Linked DNA regions of Saccharomyces cerevisiae S288C. The gene in region 3 interacts genetically with the main gene of each other region. Each region holds a gene or a part of one and is shown on either strand. Other genes may lie near its edges. The genes, in order: RSM7, IME2, RIM4 and MSS2.

Evidence for each region.
Region 1: mutations in RIM4 (region 3) and RSM7 together harm fitness more than expected from each alone (negative genetic interaction), as found in Saccharomyces cerevisiae (2 studies listed by BioGRID).
Region 2: of RIM4 (region 3) and IME2, changing one suppresses a phenotype caused by changing the other (phenotypic suppression), as found in Saccharomyces cerevisiae (2 studies listed by BioGRID).
Region 4: mutations in RIM4 (region 3) and MSS2 together harm fitness more than expected from each alone (negative genetic interaction), as found in Saccharomyces cerevisiae (2 studies listed by BioGRID).

What each region holds. Positions count from the first base shown.
Region 1 is NC_001142.9:637,696-640,488, forward strand, and holds RSM7 (mitochondrial 37S ribosomal protein uS7m RSM7), read right to left. Parts: upstream 1,281-2,793; coding exon 537-1,280; downstream 1-536. Other genes in the region: YJR112W-A (uncharacterized protein), read left to right, coding at 95-114, 164-473; YJR115W (uncharacterized protein), read left to right, coding at 2,247-2,756.
Region 2 is NC_001142.9:218,761-225,002, reverse strand, and holds IME2 (protein kinase IME2), read right to left. Parts: upstream 3,614-6,242; coding exon 1,676-3,613; downstream 1-1,675. Other genes in the region: YJL107C (uncharacterized protein), read left to right, coding at 4,987-6,150; pheromone-regulated protein PRM10, read left to right, coding at 6,147-6,242. UniProt on the Saccharomyces cerevisiae protein: Protein kinase which is essential for the initiation of meiosis and sporulation.
Region 3 is NC_001140.6:55,133-61,275, forward strand, and holds RIM4 (Rim4p), read left to right. Parts: upstream 1-1,516; coding exon 1,517-3,658; downstream 3,659-6,143. Other genes in the region: SNF6 (Snf6p), read left to right, coding at 1-717; NPR3 (Npr3p), read right to left, coding at 3,991-6,143. UniProt on the Saccharomyces cerevisiae protein: Positive regulator of sporulation-specific genes and of sporulation. Required for premeiotic DNA synthesis and meiotic chromosomal segregation. May act in a nutritional signaling pathway.
Region 4 is NC_001136.10:265,219-270,476, forward strand, and holds MSS2 (Mss2p), read left to right. Parts: upstream 1-3,702; coding exon 3,703-4,758; downstream 4,759-5,258. Other genes in the region: YDL109C (putative lipase), read right to left, coding at 40-1,983; TFIIH complex serine/threonine-protein kinase subunit KIN28, read left to right, coding at 2,480-2,507, 2,589-3,481; PHO2 (Pho2p), read right to left, coding at 5,004-5,258. UniProt on the Saccharomyces cerevisiae protein: Required to stabilize mitochondrial cytochrome C oxidase subunit 2 (COX2) and to translocate the C-terminal domain of COX2 through the inner membrane.

The DNA.
Region 1 (2,793 bases), on a different chromosome or scaffold from region 3:
AGGCGAAAAGCGAGGCGACATACTTCTTTTCACATCAACTCGAACAGAGAAAAAAGTAGACATAGAAAGAACCCAAAGACCACAAGAGCAAACAATGGTACAGCTGAGAAGAACGTATGTATATATGTTCGTGGTAAGCTCGTTGGTATGCACGTATCTTAGGCATCACTACCAACAAAGTGTTTCAAGCGATCACGTCGACTAACGACAAAGTTGCTCACTTTGTCGTGTTCATGTGGGAGTCGTGGCTGTTTGTAAAGATGTTTGCTGAGGACATCGTGACTTTCCGCAAGCTACAGGCCAACAAGTACGTGTTAGGGGTGCTGATCTGTTCATTATGCGCAAGTGTAACGAGTGAATTCGCCCAAAGCGTGGTTTCGCGGGGACAAAGGGTGTTCGATGTGAAGGATATTATTTGTAATTTCTGGGGCAGTCTGCTTGGTGTGGGCATTGCCTTCTACCAGGACCGATAAAAAGAGATTATACGGAAAATCATATAAATGTGTTTATGTACAGGCAAGTTTACGTAGACTAGATTACTTTAATTGAATATATGCTCTGTGAGCAATGGCTGTCTTGTGAATCTGGTCCCTCTTTTCAAAGGCAGACGAAGTGCCTTTGGCAATGGCAGTGAGTTCTTCTCCCAAACGCACGGCGAAGTCGCTCGACACTCTTTGGTTTGCGCTTTGTACGATCCAGTTCCACGCGATCCTATTTCTTTGCCTCTTGTTCAGAGGCACAGGAATGACAGAAGCCTTGGCCACGCCTGTGTTGAATGTCTTGGTCATCATCAGCGGAGCTAGTTCGTCGAGTGACTTTTCCAAAGCCTGGATGGGGTCCTGCCGGGTCTGGCAGTACACCAGATATAAGGCCCTGGACAGAATGGTTTGTGCCTTTTCCTTCTTACCGTGGCGCATGATCATGTTTGTGATGTGATCCAGCGTTGCGTTCTTGCGTGGAGGAATGGGCACGGACTTCAGTGCCTCCCATTGTGCCAACTGCTCTGCAGTTGGCTTTATCTTGGAGCCCGCCTGTGAACCCTGTAAGAGGTCTACTTTGGACTGGCCCGGTGGAGCCAGCGAGGTCTCTGGCAGGTATTCTTTTGCAGAGAACTCTTCCCTTAGCTCGTTGATCGCTTCAAGCCACTCGTCGACCCCTTTCTCTGCCGATGGTTCGCTAGCTGGTGTTCGTACTGACGACTGGAAACGAGCAACACATGTCCCACTTTGCCACAGGAGACGTGGCCTGACTAACATATACCTCCTCGCACAATGCAGCATTATATTCACCTCAGATCCGTATCTATCTATTTTTCTTCTGAAAACGATAGCTGCTGTCTTTTCTGTACGTGTATAATGTGCATTGTATGTAGTAAGCTATTTCTCAAGCAAATGTAGATTGGAGCCAAGACGAACATTTAAAGCCGTATAGAACTACTTTGTTTCTTCTTCAGATGATCATTTCTCATATATGGTCACGTGGCTCGATGTTTATCGCTTTATCTTTTTTTTTTTTTTTTTTTTTGCTTTTCATTTTGGCTCTGCTCTCTGTATTAGCTCATCATTTAACGCAAATGACCACGAGACAATAAACCGACGAGGAATGTGCTCATATGTCTCGCCAATACCTCTAAATAATTGACCGCGCGATTATTTAGTGTGACCAGAGCAAAGTAGCTTTGCGTCCGACCATGCAACCATGGATATACTCAAAAATGGCAATAGTGTGCCCCTAATACGTTTGCTGGCCAGTATCCCTTTCTGAAATAAGCTAAACCCTTGCAACCACCAGGGGTGCCGCCGTCCTAACTTTCCAGCCTGGCAGCGCGTCGAGTCGCCGAATGTTGCGGGCGCTGCCCCGCCCGCAACACCGCGCCCGCCCTGCCTCAGCTTAACCGAAACCACACGGGTCTGCCATCTTCCATATACCCTGGCTCTTCTTTCACAATGCCCGCTCACAACGCCAACTGCAAAAGAAGCCCGCCCTTAGTCGGTTTTCCCCACTTTGATATAACCCCCCCCCCCCCCCCCCCGCATCAACTGGTAATTTAACCCAAACACCACGGGGTCATAATTTAAAAGCGAAAAACCTTAAAGCGTTCTCGAAGAAATCTTCCTGTAGATGATGTCGTAGCAAACTTATCTTTTAGAGTGTTTGTGCTTACTGCATTGTCAGATCAAAATTTACGTAGCCGCCCTTTTCAACCCCTGTCGAAGAGTAGCATAACAGCAGCGTAGTGAACGTGCATGTTCACAAATACACGTACAATATTAATATACAATAGTAAGGTGATGAACACACACACACACACACACACACACACACACACACACATATATATATATACAGGAGATCAAGTTAGTGTGAGGGGACGACTACTGAGTTTGAAGTTCTTTAAAGTGTTAAAGTTATTTTTCCCCTCTCCCACCTCGTTGGCAACCTCTCACCCACCGCTTAGCAGCATGTCTCCGTACATGACCATACCTCAGCAATACTTATACATAAGCAAGATACGTTCCAAGCTGTCTCAGTGCGCCCTTACTCGACACCACCACAGAGAACTTGATCTACGAAAAATGGTGGGCCACGCCAATATGCTGGACAGGATCCTCGACGAAATAGACGAAATCGACAGCGAGGTAGTACTGTGTGACGCTGCCGATGGTTCTTCTACTGCAGAAGCTCATTCCGCTTCCCCAGCATCCAGCGACTCTTCTCCTCTCACTAATAACATCCGGCCCATTAGCATTATGTGATTAGCATGCATTTTCCCCTTTTCCTTTCTTAAGAACA
Region 2 (6,242 bases), on a different chromosome or scaffold from region 3:
CCGGCGTTCCACGCTGAAATTATCTATGCTTTTGTCTTAAAGAGAAGCAAACAAGTAATTTGAATCAGATATATTTCCCTCCTTTCCTTTTCAATAAAAAGTGATGAGATGGCCTATTGATATCAAGCTATGAATAGGGTAGCCACCTTTTATACAAAGTTTCTTAGATGTGTATAGCCGTGCAATACCAAAATCGAGGTTCCTTATATACTTCCTAGTACTATCCAAGAACAATAATAAGGTTTCCTGAAGGAAAAAGAGGTGGTTATTGATCACCAGAAAGTTTGGCATTAAAAACAAACGACAGCACAAAGGAACTTTCACCCTACAGCACCTTCTGTGTGCATGATTACATGTACCCGAGTAGCGAAAAAAGCCAGAAAATGTGCAAGAATAAAGGTATCTCAATGAACGAGCTCGAGCGTCAAGAGACGGGTATAAGCGAAGAAGCGCAATGCCGCCAGCCAAGCAAAGCCAAACGAAGAGATCGACCTTCCATGGGGTCGCAACTTTTCCCGGTGACCTCTACATGTGTGATTGTTAGTTCAGCGTAACAGAGTTTCAACAACATGCATATACGAGTGTGCCTTCGTGCCTGATTTTGGTTGATTATCCGGCTTCCAACCTCGTTAAATTTTCATAAAGTGCATATCGTGTAATGTAAAAAGTAAAAAGATAAAAAAGACTCATATGAAATCTTGCTGCATGGAGACAAGTGCACTCGAATTCTTTACTTATATTTTCGCTCTTGAGCTCGTCCTTTTACTAGCATATCAATATCCGTTTCATTGAAAAGTGGCCTTAGAAACGCGGACACATTAGTCTCGTATGTCGGCTCTCGCCTACTTCTTGCCTATTGTTTCAGTGCCTTTAAACCTTATTTCCCTTCCCTCGCGTGCCATTCGGCGATCTCGATTTTCCGCAAGGGGCCTCAAACGACCGACATCAAAAACCAAAACAAAGGCCAAGCACATCGTTTAGAGAAGAAATTTTGGGGGTAATATGTTTTAACGATGCCATATATGCACCAACTTCTAGGGGAAAGAATGCTTTTGACTATCTCTCCTTCCTTGCATATAGGCCAGATTTTTCCTTGGATTGTGCTGTATTACTATTGGCTCCAAGGAACCTCACAGTGAGCTTTTCCAAACCGAAAGATTTCTCTTGCGATTTCTTCGTATGCAGTAATAGGGTTTTTTGAGAATATACCGGGCATAATGTTGCAGTTATCAACTATCGCACATACAGTAGTAACAGTTCTGGTTGTCCTAGCATTAATGCCGTTTTAATTTTCTGCAGAGTATTGCCTGTGGACAACAGTAACTTATACGAATAAACATACCAAGTTAGGATCTGAGCCGGGTAACCGAACACAAAGATCTCGTTCTACTTTTTTTGACCTCTTGATGAGTTGCTTAACAAAATCAGTAGCCGCCAAGAGCAAGAAATCATAAAATGTTCAAGAAAAACAAACATAAAAATATATTGGAGGGGAATAAACGCAAAGTAATGTCTAATAAGTTAAATTAAAGCCATCGAAAAAGCACTGTATTAATAGAGCAGTAGCTATTTAGGTGAATGCATAGTAATATAATATATATGCGAACATATGTATGTCTATGTGTATATAACTATATAACTGTGCCTAACGATTCGTCAGTCAAATGACAAATTATTAGAAGGTTACATTTCCAAAATGTTGGTTTGAATTGGATAGATGAGGCTCGAACTTTTCCCGTGATTTTTTTAATGTAGGTATCAAGAAATTTCTTGGAGTAAAATCTGGCATTGAATTAAACGAATCGCCTAAAGAGGCATCACCCAAAACATTATCACCTCTATGATGTGACCTATCTGTATGTGTGTAATTTGAGTTGTTCACATATGGTAGAACGATGTCTTCATCAATATCTGCATGTTCATTAAATGGTTGTTTTCTCTGAAACTCATCCTTTTCAGGAATTTCCAGGTCAAAAAATAGCTGTTCCATGTTGTCTGCTTCATCTTTATTTATAATTTCAATATCATTTGTCAACTGCCTAATATTCGATAATGAATGATCTAAGACTTCTTCATCTGGTAGTTGACAAAGGGCCAAATTATTACGAATTTCTTTTGATAATTCAGTCTCATCAATAGAATCTGAAATGGTAGAATCTGTTCCAACATCAGGTATTGAGTGATCATCATTATCTTCTTCAACGAATTCGTTTAAAAATTCTACCAAAGTTAGTTTTTCTTGATTTAATGTTGGTGAGCACATAGCATGAGAATCGTGATCGTTGTTGCTGATATCAATATCATTAGACTCTGTTTCTGCGGGCAATTTTGTTGAAGAGTTAAAATATATGGGCTTTGTGTTGGTCGCTACTGGATTTATACCTGCAAAAATCAATGCTTGTTCTGTATTAGTCACATTGCCTCTTGCGTCTACTTGGGATGCCACGGTGTTTTCAAAAAATGGCATTTCACAAAGCTCTTGGGCTGTTGCCCTTTCATTAGGATCCCATCTTAAACACTTTTTGACAACCTCAGATAAATCGGATAGTTGGGAGCTAGAAAGTAGATGATCCAACGATGAACCTTCTACATAAGGCAATTTCAAGTTTAATTTATGGACCAAATTACTGGCATCATCCCAAAATCCACCAGGTGGTGGAGCTGTGATGTGGTTTGTATTAACAAAATCAGAACGTTTGATAGGTGTACCAAGAACTTCTAAAATTTTCCATATCTGATCGATTTCGTTAGCACCGGGGAAGAGAGCTCTGAATACAGTAACTTCCACCGCCACGCACCCGAATGCCCAAATATCCAAAGGTTTGGAATAGTAACCACTTCTTAATAATATTTCAGGCGATCTATACCATCTTGTGGAAACGTAGGCCGTATACGGGTTTTTATTTTCAACATGGCGTGCCAAACCAAAATCTGCAAGTTTAATGACATAGTTATCTTGATATCCAATCTGGTTCATGTACTCCTTTTCAAAATACTGGGTACTTGGTGTGATAAGAATATTTTCAGGTTTTAAATCTCTGTGGAAGAAATTATGTTCGTGGATGTGTTTTAACCCAGCCAGTATCTGCGATAGAATAGATTTCAAAGAAGGAATCGAAAAAACTCGGCGCCTTCTATGTTTCATCATTTGATATAGGTTTTGCTCCATACATTCCATTACGATATGTAATTGGTAATTTTCAGAGTCAATAAAGACCTCAAAAATTTGTATCAGATGGTCATTCGCTGGGATTGCCAGTATGAACTTAATTTCTCTGACCCTCGTATAATCCTGGAGTGTATGCAGTTTTGTCATCATTGTCTTTATAGCCACTACACCTTGTGTCTTTGTTATATAGTTTTGGTGACCATTTTTAGGCTGATCCATTAAAGTACCCCTTATATCATGTTGTTTACCCAATATGTTCGATAAAGGAAATTGCGCTTTGGCTAAAGTTACACAACCAAATGATCCTGCACCTAGTTTTTCGATCAGCTGATATCTGTCTGATAAAGTCTTCAAAGGGATAGAAAGTGGCGGGTTATCGACATCAGGTGGAACACTGAACTCTGAGCCACTACTGGAACTCTGTCTACTACGTTTTTCAACCATAAATGACCTATTAAGTTAAGCTTAGTACTCTTCTTTTATTACGTCTGTATCACGTTCCTTTTCAATGAATATTTAAGAACACGATTAACTTTTCTGATAAGCCTGGTAAATAAATACAGGTTTATATTCTCTAGACAGCCACCTTAACCGACTGGAGTGTCCTTTATATCTTTACCCAAAAAATAAAACTTTTAGGAGAAGGGGTAACAAACTGAAAAGGGAAAGGGTAAAGTAAAGGTAACTGTAAACTATTTTGAAAGATAGATCTTGTAACTTCTTTCTCGTTGAGTGATATTGGAAAATAAAAATGAAATGAATGTGTGAAGACAGAAGAAGTTATTCAGGAAAAGAAAATGGACAGACCGGTGAGTTGCTACCTTAATATATCTATTTGATTACACACATTACTTCTTTACCTCTTTGCAACCAGCACTTGTCTGTGGCTTTTTGCCGCCGAAGTCTCGCGCCTTTTCCCTGTTGAATTGCATTTAAGACACAAGGCTGACATTTATTAATGATAGAGATTTCCACAAAAACTCAAATAGCCGCCGTAACATAAATTATTGGACAACCGGAGAAAAGGATATTTTAAGGCACCAGCGGGTAATACATCTTTATTTCTCCAAGTTTAAAAAGCGTATTTGGAAAAGCTGTGCCACTCAGATTTTTGTGAGAGTTTTCTTTTTCTACTTACCATGAGTGCGGAGTCTTGGTGAAACAGCTACTGAGAGAATAGGTATCTGGGTTACCAGTGTAGTTAGCTACAACATGTTCGAAATGCATGGTAGAGTCTGGGTTTCGTTCCCTTTGGCTTGTTAAGGCCGAAGATTGCTTTGGTCTGGATGGGCGGAGCCCAAATTTTATTGTTGAACTATTTTTAGATTAAGAAAAACAGCGCCAAATTTTACCCGGCTTATGGCTCCTCCCTTGGTACTCCCATTTTTATGACGTAGCAGTTGTCCCGCTTGTTTCAACTCCTCGAGAAAAGTGGGGCATTGGGTTTATCTGTCACAGTACCACCAGCACGCCGAATGGACCCTCTTTGTCTTAGCCCGACGTCTCCGTAATCAGCGCGCCATTCGTGTTTCTAGTGTCCTTTGACTATTTTCATCCGAAAAATATCGAAGCAAAGCCATCGCCAAAAATTGCGAACCCAATATGACGAAATTCGGAAGAATCTTGAAAAAGAAATAAACCGAATTGCATATTAATATATAACTATGTTTTACGTTTGTTTTAAGCCTACTATATCTGAGAACGTAGCTAAATAAATCTTATATAACACTTACTTACTTACTTAGCGGTGTGCGACTTTTATCTTTTAGATATAGAATAACAAAAGAAAAAAGATCGAATAACCGATAGGCTATACAATGGACGGTAGAAATGAAAAACCAACCACTCCTGTGTCAGATTTTCGGGTGGGAAGCTCCGAGCAAAGTCAAGCGGGAGTGAATCTTGAAGATAGTAGTGACCATCGCACTTCCAATTCAGCCGAGAGCAAAAAAGGCAATTTAAGTGGTAAAAGCATCAGTGATCTAGGTATTTCTAATAATGATAACAAAAATGTAAGATTCACTGCTGATACGGATGCTCTAGAAAATGATTTGTCTTCAAGATCTACAGAAACCAGCGATAATTCTAAGGGCACAGATGGACAAGATGAAGAAGATAGGCCTGCTCGCCACAAGAGGAAGCCTAAAGTTTCTTTCACACATTTAAGGAACAATGGTAAGGATGGAGACGATGAGACGTTCATCAAGAAGATAATAAATAACCTGACTGGAAATCAAGGGGGTTTGGTCCCTGGCTTGGCACCAATACCTTCAGAAAATGAAAATGGGAAGAATGATATAGAAAAAAATAACCGTAATGAAGAAATTCCCTTATCCGATCTAGCTGATGCGTCTAAAATCGTAGACGTTCATGAGGGCGACGATAAAGAAAAACTGGAGGCTCTCAAATTAGAAGGTGACGTAAATTGTACGTCGGATGGCGAAACGTTAGGCTCAAGTTCAAAAAATTCATTTCTGGCTCCTGCAGTGGATCATTTTGATGATTATGCAGAAAACAATTCATCCGACGATAACGAAGGGTTTATTGAAACCTCCACATACGTACCCCCTCCATCTCAAGTGAAAAGTGGAGTACTAGGGTCATTATTGAAACTTTACCAAAATGAAGATCAAAATTCAAGCTCAATCTTTTCAGATTCACAAGCTGTAACAACAGATGATGAAGGTATTTCTTCTACTGCTGGAAACAAAGACGTACCAGTTGCCAAGCGTAGCAGATTACAAAATTTAAAAGGCAAGGCTAAAAAAGGCAGAATGCCTAGACTGAAGAAAAGACTAAAAACTGAAGCGAAAATTACGGTTCACATTGCAGACATTTTACAAAGACACCGGTTCATCCTACGCATGTGTAGAGCTCTTATGATGTATGGTGCTCCGACGCATAGGCTTGAAGAATATATGGTTATGACTTCTAGAGTCCTTGAAATAGATGGTCAGTTTTGTATCTTCCAGGTTGTATGATTGTTTCATTTGGTGATGCAACAACAAGAACTTCCGAAGTTCAATTGGTTAGGTGTACTCAAGGTCTAAACCTTTGGAAGCTGCATCAAGTT
Region 3 (6,143 bases):
CATGACGAGAGCGACACGATATCGTTCCGATCCAACCTTTTGAAGAACTTTATAAGCTCGAACGACGCATTTAACATGCTGAGTTTGACCACGGTACCGTGCGACAGAATTGAGAAGTCCAGATTGTTCAGTGAAAAAACAATAAGATATCTCATGCAAAAACAACACGAAATGAAAACACAAGCGGCAGAGTTGCAAGAAAAGCCTCTGACGCCACTTAAATACACAAAACTTATAGCTGCGGCAGAGGACGGAAGCCGTAGCACAAAGGATATGATAGATGCTGTCTTCGAGCAAGATAGTCATTTGAGGTACCAGCCGGACGGCGTGGTCGTACATCGTGACGATCCTGCGCTGGTGGGTAAACTCCGCGGAGATCTCCGCGAAGCGCCGGCGGACTACTGGACGCATGCTTATAGGGATGTTTTGGCGCAATACCACGAGGCCAAGGAGCGTATCAGGCAGAAGGAAGTAACTGCAGGTGAAGCACAGGACGAAGCCAGCTTGCAGCAGCAACAGCAGCAAGATTTGCAGCAACAGCAACAAGTAGTGACTACAGTTGCCTCGCAAAGTCCTCATGCAACTGCAACGGAAAAGGAGCCAGTACCCGCCGTGGTTGACGACCCACTGGAGAACATGTTCGGAGATTATTCCAATGAGCCGTTCAACACCAATTTCGACGATGAATTTGGAGATCTTGATGCTGTATTTTTTTAATAGCCATGGGCGGCTACTTCTTGGAAATATATACTTTCCTTTTACATATTTAGTATAGTTATACATGTGGATGTGTATGGAGGTAAGATCAGATAGACCCTTCACTGTTTTCTGTGTATTCCTTGTGACATAGTGGATTTGTGCAGCTACTGCTTATAGGAAGCAGTGCCTGCAAAACAATTCATTCGTTGGTTGATGTGGCGCGCTGACTGAATGTGTAGGGTCTGTTGTTACCCCCTTGCTCCGGGGGCCCACATCTCTCTGACGCGAAGAAAGGCTCGAGATGTGCCAGTCGTAAACACCGCCTCATTTCCCTTGCATTCTCCTCCAGTGAAAAAGCAGTACGACCTATCTCCGAAAAAAAAAAACCTCCTGTGCGTTTACTGTGGATCATGCAACACGATTTCTGTAGATTAAAGACGTTTTTGGCATGGACTAAGCTAAATTCCGTTTGATTAGCCGCCCATAACGGGTGGCAAACAACACGATGAAACTCTATATCCCCGCTTAACGTTTCGGCGGCTGTGATCAAGGAAAATAGTATATAAGTTCGTCGGATTTCTTATTTGTTTTCTCTCTTCCTTTCTCTCTCCCTTTCTCGTGCTTGGTTGTTTTCCTTAATTAGTTAAAACAATAAAAGAACAAGAAGGAGAAGGCGATTTTGGACTAGAAAATCACGAAGAAAAAATATCTAATTGCATTCCTATATATATTTATATACATACTCTCTATTGTTTGTTTTTTGCCTGCTCAAGAAGAAAGAAAGAAAAAAATATTATCTTTTTTAGCTTGTTGAAACATGAAAACCGAAATCAGCACTGCGGATTCCCTTCGTGATCCTCCCTCTAATGGTCTAAAGGCCGACTCTGAGCTGGTTATCAGAGAGGATATAGACCAATTTTTGCCTTCGGAAGTATCTTCGTTGGGGTCAGATCACCAGAATGATGGTGAGGATTCAGACACTGACAGTGACAACTTTTTGCAAGACCCTGAAGACGATGTGGATGAAGAAAGCACTGGTAGAGGTACAGTCACTACCACTTCCACATCCACTGAGTCAAGAGGCCGTCCATCTTCTTGTATCTTCGTGGCAAGCTTAGCAGCAGCCCTATCCGATGACGAATTATGTCTGTCGGTGACTGAAAATTTCAAAAAATACGGTGATTTGGCTAGAGTTAAAGTTTTGCGTGATAACGCAAATAGACCTTATGCTTTTGTTCAATACAACAACGATCATGATGCTAAACATGCTCTGATCCGCGCTCAGGGTACTTTATTAAATGGCAGAAGGTTGCGTTGTGAACCTGCAAAAGTGAACAGGACATTGTACTTGAAAAACCAGCAAAGTATTGATTTCAACGAGATCAGTCAAATTTGTGAAAAATTTGGTGGTTTGGAACAGATTGTTCCTGATAGAACTGATAATCAATACACGAGAAGATATACTTATCCGATATCTTCGGCAAATTCTTGGTTTGTTCAATTCGTTTACAGAGACGATGCAATCAGAGCTTATGCGAATTTACGAACTGATCCCAATTGGATCATCGAATGGGCACAAAATATAAACGTCCCAAAAAATTATAACCTTTTACACAAAAGCAAATTCAAAAGTTCCAAATACCATCAAAACAACGGTATTATCAATAACGATGGTAGTAACAACAACGATAATAATAATAGTAATAATAATAATAGAGAGGATTCAAGGAGGAATGGCGACGTTATAGAAGAGGAGTGCGGACATGTGCATGGTAGTGATTCAGAGGAAAAATTGACAAGCGATGGTATTTATGACGACGAAGATAAAGATTCCGAGATCACCATTGATAAAAGATCCATTTTCGTGGGTCAATTAGACAAAGAAACCACCAGAGAGGAATTGAATAGAAGATTTTCCACTCATGGTAAAATCCAAGATATTAATTTAATCTTCAAGCCAACAAACATATTTGCGTTTATTAAATATGAAACCGAAGAAGCTGCTGCTGCTGCTTTGGAAAGTGAAAACCATGCAATTTTTTTGAATAAGACAATGCATGTTCAATATAAAGAGGTAGGTGGTCGTCACAACAGGAAGTTCTCTGGTAAGAACGGTGGCAGCAACTTTAACCATCATCAGTTTTTTAGCACCAGATCGGGCAAAACATTTACAGGGCCAGAACTGAACTTAGCACCACCACCAATCAACATGTACAGGAAAATGAGCGGCGGATCCCAGCAGGAAAGCGAAACTATGATGCCATACATGCCCATGGGGCCCATGCCCATGGGGCCTCCACCACCAAATGCAGCAAGTCTCAGTGATTTTGATATGTTCCCCCCAAGTTACTCCACGTTTATGAAGGGAATGATGCCATTGAGGCGTAAATCTATGCCCAATTCTTGGTCATCCCCTTCTTCAAAGAGTGTGAACTCTGAAAATGAAAGTGTTAATGGTGGTGATGAGAATTCCGAATTGCCTTCCGAAATTCCTGAATCATCTGGTAGATATAATGCTGCTAATTCCTTTACCACATATAATAATTCCTCAGCAGGAAACTCTAACAACAACAACAACAACAACAACAGTAACAGTAATAAGTCTCAATATAAAAAGCGCTATGCAAGGAGGTCAAGCTACGGATACAATGAAGTACCTCCAAAACCATACTATTTCCAGCCTTATTACTATCACCCCATGCAATACCATATGGGCCCAATGGGCCCATTGCATCCTTCTCAAGGTTCTGCTGGAAATCACCATCCATATATGATGGTTTATCCCATGTCACCACCTCCGCCTTCTGGGTTAGATGGAAGCATGATCCCTCCTCCAATAAATGTAAGCCAATCACATGCTGCTAATCATGGCAGTACCCATGTTCATGCGAACGAATTCATATCAAACGATACTGGTGACATAAATGAAGATAACAAAGCTTATAGTTTAGATTACTAAAAATGATTGGTCGTAAAAGCTGCAAAAGATGTATGTAATTCAGCGGTGATGTTAACTTTAAAAGTGCAGTTTCGTTTTCTTTTTCGTCTCCCTATTTTTTTCTCTGGATCTTTTTTTTTTTTTTCACTTGGTATTGTTTTCATCCTTCTTTCCTTCTTTTACCTTCTTTGTCTCCTAATATAACAATACATACTTTCGAGTTTTGATTACAAGTCACTCGAAATGTTTTTTTCCTTTTATATATTCTTCCTTTTGTCTATTCTTATATACACATATTTTAATTTTTGGTAGATTTTTTTTTTTTTACTTACATTTTGTTACAATAGAGAGATTTACCAATGGTGTATCTCGATTAAATACTTATCTAGAGCATTGAGCAATTTCTTTAGGTCATGTCTGCTAATTTCCTCTTTGATGATAACCAATTCCATGGGGACCTTTCCATTGAAGTACTTGAGCAACTTGTTAAAAAGAATCTGGATATCTGAAGGCTGACCATAAATACATCTATAAAGCCATCTTTTTTCAATCGCAGTGGCTCTTTCAGGTTCCAAAATTATAGTATAGTCATGTTGCATTTCTGGATCATCGTATTCGAAGTGTAGTATTTCTTCTTCATCCGCAATAGCTATTTCATTGTCATCACGATCATCAACACGACTATCATTTTCGTTATCTTTTTCGTCCACATCTTTGTTGTTGTCGTTGGACTGCATGCCTTCATTCTTTCCTGAACACGCTTCGCTGGCGTTTGCATCTCTACTTTGCCCATCTTCATCATCCAGCTTTTTATCAGTTTTTTTGTAGTCCATGCTGGGCCTTCTAGCAGTATTAGTCTTACGGAAGCCTTCCTTTTCTAGATCCTCATCTACTGCCATTTTTATGTGTTTGTCCACTCGGATATTTATGAAAGTCAATAATTGGGTTACATACCCGTACTGTATTAACCACGCTAACGCGTTCAGGTAAACTGGCTTATGTTCCCTTGATGGGATTATGTTACTGTACGCTTGAGGTTTGTCCGTGGACAACAAACTTAAAAAAATGGGTAAACTGGGCAATGATGGGAATTTGGATCTGAACAACATCGAATTTTGATAAATTAGTGGTACTCTGTCGCTTCCACTCTTATTATTTTCGCGATCGTCCATTTTTTTCACGTTCCCATCATTTTGTGAAGTACTTTTATAATCATCTATTGTATAACCTTGAATAGGAGCCAAGGGTGAAACAATATACGTGTATTTGGAGCTTAGTGGGATCACTATTCTTGCATGTCTCCAATACATTAAATGCAATGCGCAAGAGCGCAGTATGCTTGATTCCAATGAGTTTGTTTCTGTAGTAAGGTCGTCCAGTGAAGAAGGGTTATCTAATAAATCAGTTATCAGATAGCGATACGACCTTAGAGGGATATTTGGCTGGATATTTCTGACTAAATGTTTCAATATGATAGTGCCAATATCGTCCTGGTATGAAAAAGTTTCGAGGGAGCTAATAATATTATTTGGCTCGTCCAATAATAATAGCGCATAGTTTAAAAGGTCATCATTGTCGTCGCAGTAGTAATTGCTTTCATTGTCGTCCCCGTCATCCACATTTGCTGCTCCACAGTGGCCGGTACTATTAATATTATTGCCAAACCTGTATATGTTATTATTGGTATCACTGAATTGAGCCTGATCGTTTTGACGATTTTGACTTTCAATTCTCAATGATGATTTTTCTAAAAATTTCATGTTCAAAATGGACGTCAAATATGAGCCTCTTAGCACGGGTTGCAGTTTGAAGTTTGGCATTTTTTCAAACTCGTTTTGAATCGGGATTTGCAAGGAAATTACTTTATCGTCATTGATCTCAAGACATGCGATTTCATTTCGTTGGATTTTATCAACACATTCCGTTAGCGCCCTAGCCAACGAAGATTTGGCTAAAATTCTTTGGTACAGATACTTCCCCTTGTTTCCTGCGCCTCTTATAGATTGGTATGTTTTCGAATGTTTCAGTACCCGTTCTTTTTCCTTTAAAATTATATGGCATTCGCTAGAAATGTACGAGGTTTTTGATTGCACATATCTTAACAATAATGATAACCTTGTAACAACAAACTGATACATGTCATCAATCCTTTTATTATATTCGATTAAATGCGGATTCATAACAAAGCATACATGAAACATGTTCATATTTTTGCCCAAGTCTTCCTTTTCTCTCTCAAATTCGTTTCCACTGACATCAGTATTTATCCTCAAATTCGGCGTATCAGTAGAAGCCTCATGACCAATATTACTGTCATAAACAGTGTCAGCTTCACCACTATTAACTTTCTTCAAAGTATTCTCACTCAGTGATGAAATTTTGGAAGCGATAGATTTCTTTCTACTGATGTTTGTTGTAGTACTCGAAGATCTTTTAGAGCGGGTTTTATTTTTGTGCTTGGATTTTCTCCATCTGCCTTGAGAATCTACATGAATAGGTAAGCCTA
Region 4 (5,258 bases), on a different chromosome or scaffold from region 3:
AATTGCAAGTCAATCCCGGGATGACGTCAAGATAGACAGTCAATCTGTCACAGAGGAATGCTTGCTAATCCAGGAGCTGGCGAGCTGGCTAGCTGTGGAGACTATTCCACCATGGTACACACTAGGATCCTCGATCTTGGTGAGCCATGAGTAGAACTTGTTTGGTTCCACCCCTCCGGTTGCCATGTTTATATCTTCCTCAGCAAACTGTTTATCTTGCATTGGTGAGGCGATTGGGTCATCTCTTTGGAAATGGGCGGTAACAAGGTGGTCAACCACCGGCCAGCCGTAAGCGTTGGAAAACCTTCTTCTTACGATGATGTTATTGTGGGCATCTGGTTTCAGCAATACCACGACTTTCCTCCAATGCATCCCCTTGTGCCAGCGGCGTGCTATGATTTCCTCCATCTCTTTTCTCGTCTTCCTCGTTTCGCCTTCCTTGGCTGCTGTTCCTTCATAAAGTGTTGGTGATGGAGGCGGTAAATTCTTTTCTGTGTAGATCTTATCATGTATGATTGTTGCGACCCTTGCATCGGGATCTGAGAAGAACTTTGCGTCGGGGCATGGTGATAGAAGCACAGACTTCATAGATTTGATGACGGAAGCATTCATCAAGCGTTTAGATTTCTTGTCGCAGTTATTTTCCTTGCTCTTCCAAAACGTGTTCCATGACGATGCATTGATTCCATCATCATCATTAGCAACATCGCTATGATTTGGAAGTTCCCCAATAGGACTTACTTCAGGCTGGAAGAGAGGATCACAAGGTGCCGTAGTTTGACCTCCCAGTTTCTGAAGTAATTGAGAGTAGTCCAAAAAAAGTAAAGAAGAGGAGTACAAGGGAACTATTCCGTCGTTGACGGCATTAGCATAAAGTGTTCTTCTTTTGAATCGAGCAAGCACACTGATTAAGGATTCCTCGGATAGCAGGTAAAGTAGGGGCTTATCACCATAATTTCCATCCTTAAGACCCAGTTCTTGCCCCGTAGTACCAATGATACCCATCGACAATGACATTTTTACGTAATTGGGCGTGCTGGTAGCAATGCCTAGCAATGGTGACGCCAGTGAGATAAAATTGATTGGCTCCACTTTCTTAAAGAAATATGGATATTTGGTCTTTATGTAACAAATAGCAAAAGTTTGTGTTAATCCACCCAGGGAATGACCAATAAATGAAATTTTCCCAACAGAGTCATCATATAACTCGTCGATGATGTAGTTTGCCAATCCAACACCCAAAAACTTAATACCCTTCTCAGTCTCACAAGCATTCTTCATATATCCCTTAATAACTAGTCGCTCATTTGGATTGTTCATTTGAGCCTTGTATATTTCTTCCATTAAGTATTCCATATCTGCCGAAACGTTTGATTGAAAACCATGCGTGAGAATGACTAAATGGGATTTTTGCGACATGTCTATGGGTCGTGGTACTTTCCATATATCTGCGGTGGTAAGTCTATGCACCGATAATCCTGTGTGTAAAATATTGCAGGCTTTATCAGGCAATGAATCATTACATCGTATTTTTCTTTTCAAAGAGGCCTTTGAATTGCCGACTACTATCTCAAAAGTTACCTTAGTTTCTTTATTAAATAGTATTTGACTGACAATATCCACTATCCATACATAGCGTGGCTTAATGTGGTGCAAGGACAACTCTGCAATAAACTTTTGTTGTGCCTGTAGGTTTGATTGAAATACTGGTTTATCCGCCGAACATATGATCTTATACGAGCTTTCGTAATCTTTTGCTCGCACGTCACAATATAAGATAAATGGGCCCAATAGATAGGCTGGTTTATAGGATAGCTTTGTGGTATTTTTGATCTTTACCCATAGGGAATCCAGTGTGATATCAGCGGGAATACTATCACCCTGGTATAGCTCATATGTAATAACGTATCTTTCTAACTCACCTAACTTTACTGACGACTGATTGTGGTATAGCACTTCATCAGCACTCCTGCCAGCTTCCATATTACTACCGTTTCCCCGATGTTTTTGGGTGAATAAGGTCAGGTGAGCATTTTTTGTACTGATATTTTTTCTCTTTGTTTGCAGACACAACGCTTGCTGTTAATACGCTAAAAACATACCACACTACCTTGAACAAATCCTCCAAGAGAAATTTGTAAGAATTCAGAAGCGGTTTCAGGGGAAGTCGGCTTAGTTGTCAATTGTAATTGAAAATCACCCTCTAATTTGAAAGATTTTCAGTTTCAATAAGACATCAATCTTGCCAGTTTGTAATTTTTTGGTATATAGAAATGGTCTTCAAGCATAAGCCTTAAGAAAGATTCGTCCATTGGATGAACCTACAATTTTTTTTGTGTTATGATGTGAAGCTTCATTTGAAGCATTGTGCAGAGAATATTACAAGTAGATTCAAAAAACACATTGAAAAAAAATACAAGTGAAATCACAGTTACTTAAAAGTCATCAAAAAAAATATTCCCGGCCTCAGAGCGAACATATGAAAGTGAATATGGAGTACACAAAGGGTATGTGGGGGTTATATATTGTCGTCTTTCTTTTAACATTCAATAATGATACTAACGTTGATTAATGATGATTCATCGCAGAAAAGAAAGTTGGTGAGGGTACTTATGCGGTTGTTTACTTGGGTTGTCAACACTCTACTGGAAGAAAGATTGCTATTAAGGAGATCAAAACATCCGAATTTAAAGATGGTTTAGATATGTCAGCTATCCGTGAAGTTAAGTACCTCCAAGAAATGCAGCATCCGAACGTCATAGAACTAATAGACATATTTATGGCTTATGATAATTTAAATCTCGTTCTGGAGTTCCTACCAACTGATCTAGAGGTGGTAATAAAAGACAAATCAATACTGTTTACACCAGCAGATATTAAGGCATGGATGCTTATGACTTTGAGGGGCGTGTATCATTGCCACAGAAATTTCATTTTGCACAGGGATCTGAAACCAAACAATTTATTATTTTCACCTGATGGCCAGATAAAAGTAGCAGATTTCGGTCTAGCAAGGGCGATACCGGCCCCACATGAGATACTGACAAGTAACGTCGTAACAAGATGGTATAGAGCGCCAGAATTGTTGTTTGGAGCTAAACATTACACATCGGCTATTGATATCTGGTCAGTAGGCGTTATATTCGCGGAATTAATGCTAAGGATACCTTATTTACCAGGACAGAATGATGTCGATCAAATGGAAGTAACGTTCAGGGCCTTAGGGACACCTACAGATAGAGATTGGCCCGAAGTTTCTTCCTTTATGACGTATAACAAGTTACAAATATATCCGCCCCCTTCAAGAGATGAATTGAGGAAAAGGTTCATTGCTGCTAGCGAATACGCCTTAGATTTTATGTGTGGAATGCTAACGATGAACCCACAAAAGAGGTGGACCGCTGTTCAGTGTTTAGAAAGTGATTATTTCAAAGAATTACCACCACCAAGTGACCCGTCTTCAATAAAAATACGTAACTGATATGATTTTATAAAATTTGTAGAATCTGTGTTATTGACATTAGATGTATCCTCAACATATACAAATAAACTTCTTGATGCGTCTTGTTTTTTGGTGTTGAATTTTAACTCTTTTCCATCATTATGGAATTCGTTTTTAGATTTTAACAACAACAATATGAGGGGAGACAAACAGTAGCAGACGAAAACGAAAACAAAAGCAAGAAATATCTGATCTAAAATATGCAGAGGTTTGTCAGTAAGTTTGTTTCCACACCACCAGTACCCAAAAAGTTTCAAGAGATTTTCCCGAAGAAACGTACGGTTAACAAAATTTTATTCCAGTTAGATACAAGGCTTACATACCATGAAATGTACCCGATATTTCTGCAGGTATCACAAAATACTAATGAAGAGAATATCCCATGGAGGAAGAAATACCCCTATATAAGGAGTTCAGACATTATGCAGATGCGAAACGTCTTGATAACTCTAAGGACGCAGAACAAATTCGTCCACAAAGACTTATTAGCTATGGAGGATAAATTATTGAATATTGCTGCCGAACTTGGCAACAACGATGCTATATCCATCCTAAGCTTCAACGTGATACATGAATATAAAAAGGAAAACGTCAAATCCAGTTATGAAAAAGACATTGAAACGGCTAATGAATTCATAAAGAAGCTGTATGCGCGTAACCATCATTTAACGGTTAAATTAATAGGGGACCTGTTTTTCGAAAACAAAACTTACGATAAGGCTGAGAAATATTACCAAGAGTTCTTGAAATTGGAAAATAGTACCAAATTGGCAGGCGAAGTTCACGGAAAACTTGGGGAAATCCAAATAAAGCAAGTCAATGGTTTTTTGAAGGCAGAAAAGTCATGGCTGAGTTGTATAGAACTGCTGGAAATTGAAAGAAGTTCACGTTGGTACTTTCTGTTAGCGAGGTTATATATGAGTTCAGAGCCCATGAAAGCCAAAGCCTTGCTAGAAAATTGTGCATCAATTGGATTTAAAGAATGCTTTAAAACATTAGGATTTCTTGAATTAAACTATTTCAATAATTATGAAAGGGCGAAAGAATGGTTCAAAACGGGTATGGAAATAATGGACTTGGAATGTTTCTTTGGATTTTTCGATTGCTGTGTGAAAGAAGAGAATTTTAAAGGTGCACGAGATTGCCTAGAAAGCGTAAAAAAGCTAGGGAATGATAAAGACAAGAAAACAATGATAAATGTCTTTCTTGAAAGTAGAAAAGATTCCATAAAGTTGCTGGACAAAGCACGGCTTTAAATGTCTGATCGATTCTTTTTGCGATTTATATAAGGACACATGTCTCCACCTATAACGCGAGCTTGTAAATATCTATATACCCATCTGATAATGTTCAAAAAAGTCAGCTAAGTAAGTAAAATAATAAGGACAATAAAATTAAAATGTCATACAATGTTACCTATGAAATAATTAGGAAATACTGTTAGAGTAATATTTAGAGTTGAAAATGCAATCGCAAAAAAAAAAAAACAGAATTATTTTCATCATATCCATCTATGCTCGTCAGTTAGTTCGTTAGTGTTCTTCAAAAAATCTGGAGTATTTGGGAGTTCACTATCAGTCGGTAAAGACAACAAATGATCATTTGGATTTGCAACAATATCAGCATCGTTGGATAAATGTTCTTGCGCTAGATGATTCTCCTCATTATTAGCATTATGATTGTTATTGCTGTTGACGGTAGTATCCAGTAAATTGAGCGTATCATCCTTGCTAGCTTGACGTCCATTATTAGAGCC